Linked DNA regions of Sus scrofa. The protein of the gene in region 1 purifies or fractionates together with the protein of each later gene. This does not show direct contact. Links are inferred from orthologs where the notes say so. Each region holds a gene or a part of one and is shown in the gene's direction. Other genes may lie near its edges.

What was found.
Region 2: the proteins of STAT1 (region 1) and PIAS1 purify together in Homo sapiens (affinity purification with western blotting; 5 studies listed by BioGRID). This does not show direct contact. The link is inferred for Sus scrofa from reciprocal best matches to the Homo sapiens genes STAT1 and PIAS1.

Annotation. Positions count from the first base shown.
Region 1 is NC_010457.5:95,611,596-95,615,419, reverse strand, and holds part of STAT1 (signal transducer and activator of transcription 1), read left to right. Parts: intron 1-476; coding exon 477-612; intron 613-2,265; coding exon 2,266-2,315; intron 2,316-3,024; coding exon 3,025-3,119; intron 3,120-3,824. UniProt on the Homo sapiens protein: Signal transducer and transcription activator that mediates cellular responses to interferons (IFNs), cytokine KITLG/SCF and other cytokines and other growth factors.
Region 2 is NC_010443.5:165,994,970-165,998,793, forward strand, and holds part of PIAS1 (E3 SUMO-protein ligase PIAS1), read left to right. Parts: intron 1-1,093; coding exon 1,094-1,538; intron 1,539-3,824. UniProt on the Homo sapiens protein: Functions as an E3-type small ubiquitin-like modifier (SUMO) ligase, stabilizing the interaction between UBE2I and the substrate, and as a SUMO-tethering factor. Catalyzes sumoylation of various proteins, such as CEBPB, MRE11, MTA1, PTK2 and PML.

The DNA of each region.
Region 1 (3,824 bases):
TTAGGAACACCAGACAGCACTTCAGCCCTACACTCAGGAGGGGGCATTTTAAAAAGGAAATCACCAACCAAAAACACACAAAAGTGCAAAAACCATGGCACTAGAGACCTCGAAAAGGACACCCGCCTATAGTATGATTATGAACAGGAAAGCAGAGTGTCGATTTGTTTGACCTCACGTGGAAACGCACATATTGAGCAGCTCAAGGTTTTCACCACTGTGTGCCTGGGTGTGTCCACAGATGACTGCAAAAGTGCCACAAGTATTGATTCTGGAGTTAAATTTTAGTGAGTAGATGAATTCACAAATGTGAATCCTCAAGTAATGAGAATCGACTGTATTTCTCTTCTGCTGCTGTGAAAATGTCTGTGTCACAGAGGTTAGCACTGAACTCTGGCACGGCTCCACTTTTCAATGCCAAGCTTGTGACTGGTGACTCATTAGTAGCTCTTAACTTCTGGGTGTTTTCTCTCTAGAATCTGTCCTTCTTCCTGAACCCACCTTGTGCACGATGGTCTCAGCTTTCAGAGGTGCTGAGTTGGCAGTTTTCTTCTGTCACCAAAAGAGGTCTCAATGTGGACCAGCTGAACATGCTGGGAGAGAAACTTCTTGGTATGAACATATTAACTTTTTGTATATCTAACCATTGAAATTCATAAAAATATCCTGACTTGCCCCCCTTTCCCTCTTTGCTCTCTATTTTGTTCAAGGTAGAAGAGTGCTAAAAATCTGTTGGCTTTTCCAGCTGCGGTTTGTTATAGCTGCGGTTTGTTATAGCTGAGTGAAAATTATGCCTCACCTTGGAAGGAGATACAGACCTGATAAAAAATTTTAAAAATGAATTATTTCAGAGTTCCCTTTGTGGCTCGGTGGTAACAAACCCAAATGGTATCCATGAGGATGTGGGTTCGATTCCTGGCCTCGCTCAGTGGGTTAAGGATCTGGCGTTGCCATGAGTTGTATAGGTCACAGACGTGGCTTGGATCTGGTGTGGCTGTGGCATAGGCCAGTGGCTACAGCTCCAATTTGACCCCTAACCTGGGAACCTCCATATGCCATGGGTACAGCCCTAAAAAGCAAAAGAAACAATAAAAAAAATGAAATATTTCCCCATTATCTCATATTAACATTTCTGAGCAGAGTTCCTAAGGGAAAGATTTCTGAGTTATGTAAAATGTATTATTTGTGGCTAGAATATTCTTTGATAAGAAAGATGAAAGTCATGTTAACCTTGGGGAGAAAAAAGCCCCCAGCATGGTAAGAATAAGGTCGTGGGGCCGCCCACACAGCACACACCCAGGTGTCTTGTGTCAGGTGGGCAGAGACACGGCCCACATCAGGAGGATGCCTGTCACCAGCAGTGCCTGATGTGGTCCCGGCCATGCTAGAAAATTCCCTGTCGGTAGCTAATGTCATGGGCTTTTTAGTCTTCCACACTAAGCAAATCCAAGACCTCTTGGCCTCAAGGTCAGATCTTCAGTGCATGGGAGTATCTGAACTATTTCTTTAAAAATCCATGGGTACCTTTTCTCTGGATTTGCTTACTGTATAGCAGAGCTTCATGTACTGCAAATACCAGTAGGCTTTTCCTAACCAAATGGCTCTCAGCAGTGCCTTCTCTTGGCCATGTAGCTGTCACAGTGGGGACCTTGTGCTGTTTTAGTAAAAAGTGAGAAATCCCTTATTTGCACCAAATTAAGACATATCTTTTCCACCTGTGATGGCTTATCTGTGGTTCTCTGTGAGGAAATGGTGGGCTCACTGCCTCTTACAGCCTGGGCCACTTCACTTTGTAGTGATAACCACTAGGCTTCCTTGCCCTCTCTCATTTCGCTAACTTGGCATTTGATTTGCATCGATCTCCCTGAGCCCGTGTCCTATTTGGAGGAGGGCTGAGGGACATGCCTATCATCTAAAATAAGCTTCTAAAGTCAAGTGTCAGTTAAATAGATCTCCTAGGGGCCCATCTTTCATCTTAGTTCAAACTTAGGAAAAAGCTCTGTAGGGTCCCTGGAAGAGGAGCCTACAGTAGAGGGAGAGGGAAGCAGGCAGTGGGAAACGATGCTGCACAAAGAGGGACCAGGTGGAGGTTCTCTAGAAAGTGCAGGTAATTAATATTAGTGCCTCTGGGAGTTTCAGCCAGGTACATACAACCTTCCTTTGTTGAATGTTGGCTTTCTGAGAGCAAATACAAGAGCCATCAGTCCAGCCAAAGCTTCAGAATCGATTTCCATTTCCTGAAAATGCTTATTTGTATTTGTTTAGGTCCCACTGCTGGCCCTGACGGTCTTATTCCCTGGACGAGGTTCTGTAAGGTGGGTACTGTCTGGGCTTTAGACTTTGGAGCTCTTTACACTCTGTGTAAAGGAGTTCTCGCCGTGACGCTGACCGCCCTGTGCTTACTTTGGCATATTCCTCTCTCACCCATGGAACCCCAAGGGCAAGTTGTTTACTTTCCTTCAGCTCCAAAGGTTAGTCTCCAAGTGTGAGCCTGACAGGAAGCACCTGCCTGTGTGATAACATTCTTTCATATCCGAAGTGAGTCTTCTGTTTGCTCACAGTGGCCCTTGGCCTGGCGGCATTTCAGCCCCATCCATGAGGAATGCGCTCTGTGCCGACGTGGCTGGCCTGCAGGGCCAGATGAGCTTGCCCGAGTCTGCTCCAGCAGTGAGACCAGTTGAGGGGAATAATCAGACGCCACTAGGGTCACCAGACAGTGTTGACAAGCTTGTGCTACTGGATATTAGTAGTGCAAATGAAGGCAGCTCATGTTCCGTGATTCACCCTGGAGGTCATTCCTTGGCCGGGTGGCTGCTGTTTGGAGAGGGAAGCAGAGCCCAGCTCAGGAAGTGGAGAACTTGGTGTCTGAATGCTGATAAGAGGGAGGGCCTTCTCTGGAGGGGACAGCCCTAGCTTTGGCAGCTGGGCAGTGTTTGCAAACTAAAATCCCACGGTGGGAGGAGGCATGGTAAGTCACTGTATTGGATTTTGTGGTTCATAATGTGTGCATTTGTATACTTGCAGGAAAACATAAATGACAAAAATTTTCCTTTCTGGCTTTGGATTGAAAGTATCCTTGAACTCATTAAGAAACACCTGCTCTCTCTCTGGAATGATGGGTAAGGGCCATTGATAGATGTATTCTTGAAACATGTTGAGCACACGCTCCCTACTGCAAGGCTGGGATAGGCCTGACCCAGACAGACTTCATTACTTGACAGGACTATGTGCATCTCACACACACAGCTGTTTTACAGGCTGTCCCTTCAGGTATTCATGATAGTGGACCCTCATAAGATTAAATCTATACCTATCATAGTATATGTCTATTTGCATTTTCAAAGCTAAATTAGAAAGCCCTGAGTGCAATTCATGCATTCATTCATTCTACAAAAATTTCTTGAGCACCTAGTTTCTTGCCTCTCAGAAAAGAAGAAAAACCTTTTTTAACTTGGTAAGTTGTTTCTAATTTGTTCCCAGGGTCAGTTGTTATTTCAGCAGAGGCTTTAACCTGGTCATAAGTCTTGGATATGAACATGGATTGTCTGAGCCTTCCTCTTCGCTATGAGATGCATAAATTCAGACATTTTTGTAGTAGAAAATGAAATTAATCCAGCAGGTATTTATTGGTTGTCTGTAGTATTCTACTGGCACCATATTAATGAGCTTGTCCAGGACTTTAGCATGTATACATATGAGTGAAATGTGAAACAGATTTTAAAGCATTTAAAATAGTTGATACATTTTTATTTTACGTTCATTTGTCAAGCTGCAGTCCTCTTGATTTGTAAGTTAACTTGAAAATTACAATCATGACTGAACTC
Region 2 (3,824 bases), on another chromosome or scaffold:
ATTTGGCATATAATGGGTCAAAAAAAGTATAGGTTAAACCTTATAAATTCTGAAGTTAGTGTTGGATGTAATATCTGATGTTATTTGTATCCTGCCTACATCTGATGTTTGAAGTAGACTGTTAATGTAATTCACATATACTTATTTAATTTTTCCCCAAGAAAATAAATGTTCTTGAGGGCTCATTACTTTTTGCCATCCGGAATACACTCAGCACTGTCCTGGAGACTTAGTAAGTGCTTGATAAATACCTGAGAATTTCATTGTAACAGTGGAATGAGGTGAGATGTGGTTCTACGTGGTGTATACTTTTACATCTTATATAACACTAGGTAGAAGTCGGTGAATTTTTGAATATTTATTATAAATTTCTTTAGCTGGAGTTCCTGTTCTTTGGCTCAGCAGTAATGAATCCGACTAGTATCCATTGAAGATGTGGGCCCAGTTTCTGGCCTTTGCTCAGAGGGATAAGGATCTGGCATTGCCCTGAGCTGTGGTTTAGGTTGCAGATGCTGCTTGGATCTATCTTTGTTGTGGTGTAGGCCAGCGGCTGCAGCTCTGATTTGCAGCTCTGCAGCCTTCCTAGTCTGTGAACTTCCATATGCCACAGGTGCAGCCCTAGAAAGAAAAAAATAATAGATTTTTTTGGTTACGTATATTAAATGGCTAAATTTTAAGTTTGAATATTCAGACTACTGTATATAGAACACACTTGATCTTAGCCAAAAGGCAGAGAAGCAATTACTATATATAGAATAGATGGTAATGGGGACCTACTGTATATAGCACAGGAGAATTTACTCTGTACTGTATGGTAACCTATCTGAGAAAAGAATTTGAAGAAGAATGGATGTATGTGTATGTATAACTGATTTACTTTGCTATATGCCTGAAATTAACATAACTTTCTAAGTCAACTATGTTCCAATAAAAATTTTTAAAATATTTTAAGTTTGAAATAACTAGAATTGACTGTAAATGAGCTGACCTTTAAGCAAACCATAAGGAGAAAGTATTTATTATAACACTTTGTTTAATGTTGTAAATTATATTATTGGAATACTAATGTTTTACATTTTGTTTTGTCTCTAAGCAAATGGTTATGAGCCTTAGAGTTTCTGAACTCCAAGTACTGTTGGGCTACGCCGGGAGAAACAAGCACGGACGCAAACACGAACTTCTCACAAAAGCCCTGCATTTGCTAAAGGCTGGCTGCAGTCCTGCTGTACAAATGAAAATTAAAGAACTCTATAGGCGGAGGTTCCCCCAGAAAATCATGACGCCTGCGGACTTGTCCATCCCCAGCGTACATTCAAGTCCTATGCCAGCAACTTTGTCTCCATCTACCATTCCACAGCTCACTTATGATGGTCACCCTGCATCATCACCGTTACTCCCTGTTTCTCTTTTGGGACCTAAACATGAACTGGAACTCCCACATCTTACATCAGCTCTTCACCCAGTCCATCCGGATATAAAACTTCAAAAATTACCATTTTATGATTTACTGGATGAACTGATAAAACCCACCAGTCTAGGTAAGATTATTCTATAATGGTTATTTGGTTACTTTTGGAGGAAATATTTTCTTTTTCGAGTTTGACCCAATTTATTATTCATAATGACAATTACATTTGGTAGTAGCATCCAGATGGTAATAAGGATCTTTCAATTTTATTTCTTTTTTTCACTTTTTTGGGGGGAATCTTTCAATTTTAGACAAAATCAAGAATGTAGAAGCTGTCTTTTAGACAGAAAAAAAGTATATTCAGGTCTGCAGTGATGATTGCTGACACAGTAAATGTTAAAAAGTTTTCAAGAATATAAAACTTGGAGTTCCCGTCGTGGCACAGTGGTTAATGAATCTGACTAGGAACCATGAGGTTGTGGGCTCGGATCCCACATTGCTGTGGCTCTGGCGTAGGACAGTGGCTGCAGCTCCAGTTCAACCCCTAGCTTGGGAACCTCCATATGCCGCTGGAGCGGCACTAGAAAAGGCAAAAAGACAAAAAAAAAATATATATATATATATATATATATATAAAACTTTTTAAAGTCTTAACATTTTAGATTGTTGATTAATATTTTACAATAACCCTTACAAATTAAATAAATTAAAACCCAGTAATTACTATCAGTCTCTGAATTCACTTTTTAATTTTCAAGGGTTGATGACATCTAAAGCAAATTACTCTTTTTGATTCTTTAAATGAGTAAATGGTTTTAATTATTATAAAAGGATATTTGAACCCTAATATATAGTATTTCAATTTCAGCTGACTTTTTCAAATGGATGTGTGTGCTTTGCAGGGGCACACATGATCATATTTATATAATACTAATGAATACTTGAAATTTCATGTACTGTGTTCTACCATTTGATTTGTGTCTAGAATATGCTGTTAATAATTCAATGTATTAACTTGAAATTTTAATTTATATAATTCTACCTTTATTTAGGGTAGAATAAAACTTACCCTATTGTGATCTCTGATACTTTTGGTGTAAAATATTTAAAATATCAGACTTCCAGATGCTGGTTTGTTATTATAAATCAGTGGTTGGCAAACTATGGTTGGCAAAGCAGATGCATCCTGCAGCCTTTTTTCTGTGGATCTGAGCTAAGTTGTTGTTGTTGTTTTTTAATATTCCTAAAGAGTTATAAACTAAAACGAAAACGAAGAATATGCAGCAGAGATCATGTATCTGCAAAAGCTAAAATATTTGTCTGATCCTTACAGAAAAAGTTTTCTGACCCCATTAACAGATCATTAAACATTTCAACTTGGGGGGTTGGTGAGTGTTGAATTTTTGAGAACATTTACAGAAGCTCTTTGAACTAGGAAATGTTTGTTTTAAATTATATCAAGTAGAATACCTGAATAAATTAACATTATAGGAGTCATTTTCAAACAACATGAATTTTATGTCACTTTTTTAAAATAGCCATTAATAAGAAAAATTAACACTTGTTGAGAATCTGTCCTAAGTTTTTAAAACCTATACATGCTCATTATAAAAAATGAAAGTGCTGAAGTCCCTTCCTCATTAGCAGTTTAATATCTATGCATATGTGAGCAAGTTATGTTTCCTGTTCTTAAGCAGGAATCGTATTAGACATAGTATTCTCTGACATGCTCTTTTTTTTTTTTTTTTTTTTTTTTTTTGGCTTTACTAGTATAGACAGTTTTCCTTGTCTTATTCTTCATTTTTAATTGAAGGCCATATATACACAATTATATATATATATATATATTCTAGCTCATTTCTTATTAAAGACTGTGTTCTTTTCTGTGTTCTAAATAAGTCCTCTATTAAAAGGCATATTTTTCTAGTTTTTCACTGCCAAAAACATGCTGTAGTCAACCTCATCTGAAATTTGAAAGAAAAAAAAGATGTTAGTGGCTTTTATTTGATTTGATTCCCAGCTCTCAAATTTTTCTTCTGGTCTTAATAATTAATGTATCCTGTTTTCAGTTTCACTAATGTAAATTTCAAGTACCAGTGTGAATAGATGATGTTTACATACATATCTAATTTTGTTATGAAAAGTAGAAATGCAAACTAGAAATACATTATGGTTATGTTTGATAATATTTTAAATAAAAATTGAGCATTTTAAATTTATTTCACAGAGGTACTTTTCTTGAATATATGTTATGTCTTCATTTCTAATTGTCTATACTTTTTTTAAATGCCTTTGTAGCTTAATATATCATAATTTATATCTTACATCTTGTTGTTTTAATACTTTAGGGTACTTTATCCTTTTGAAATTTTTAATGTGTAATAGTAATGGGAAAATATATCTGATTTCTCCCTAA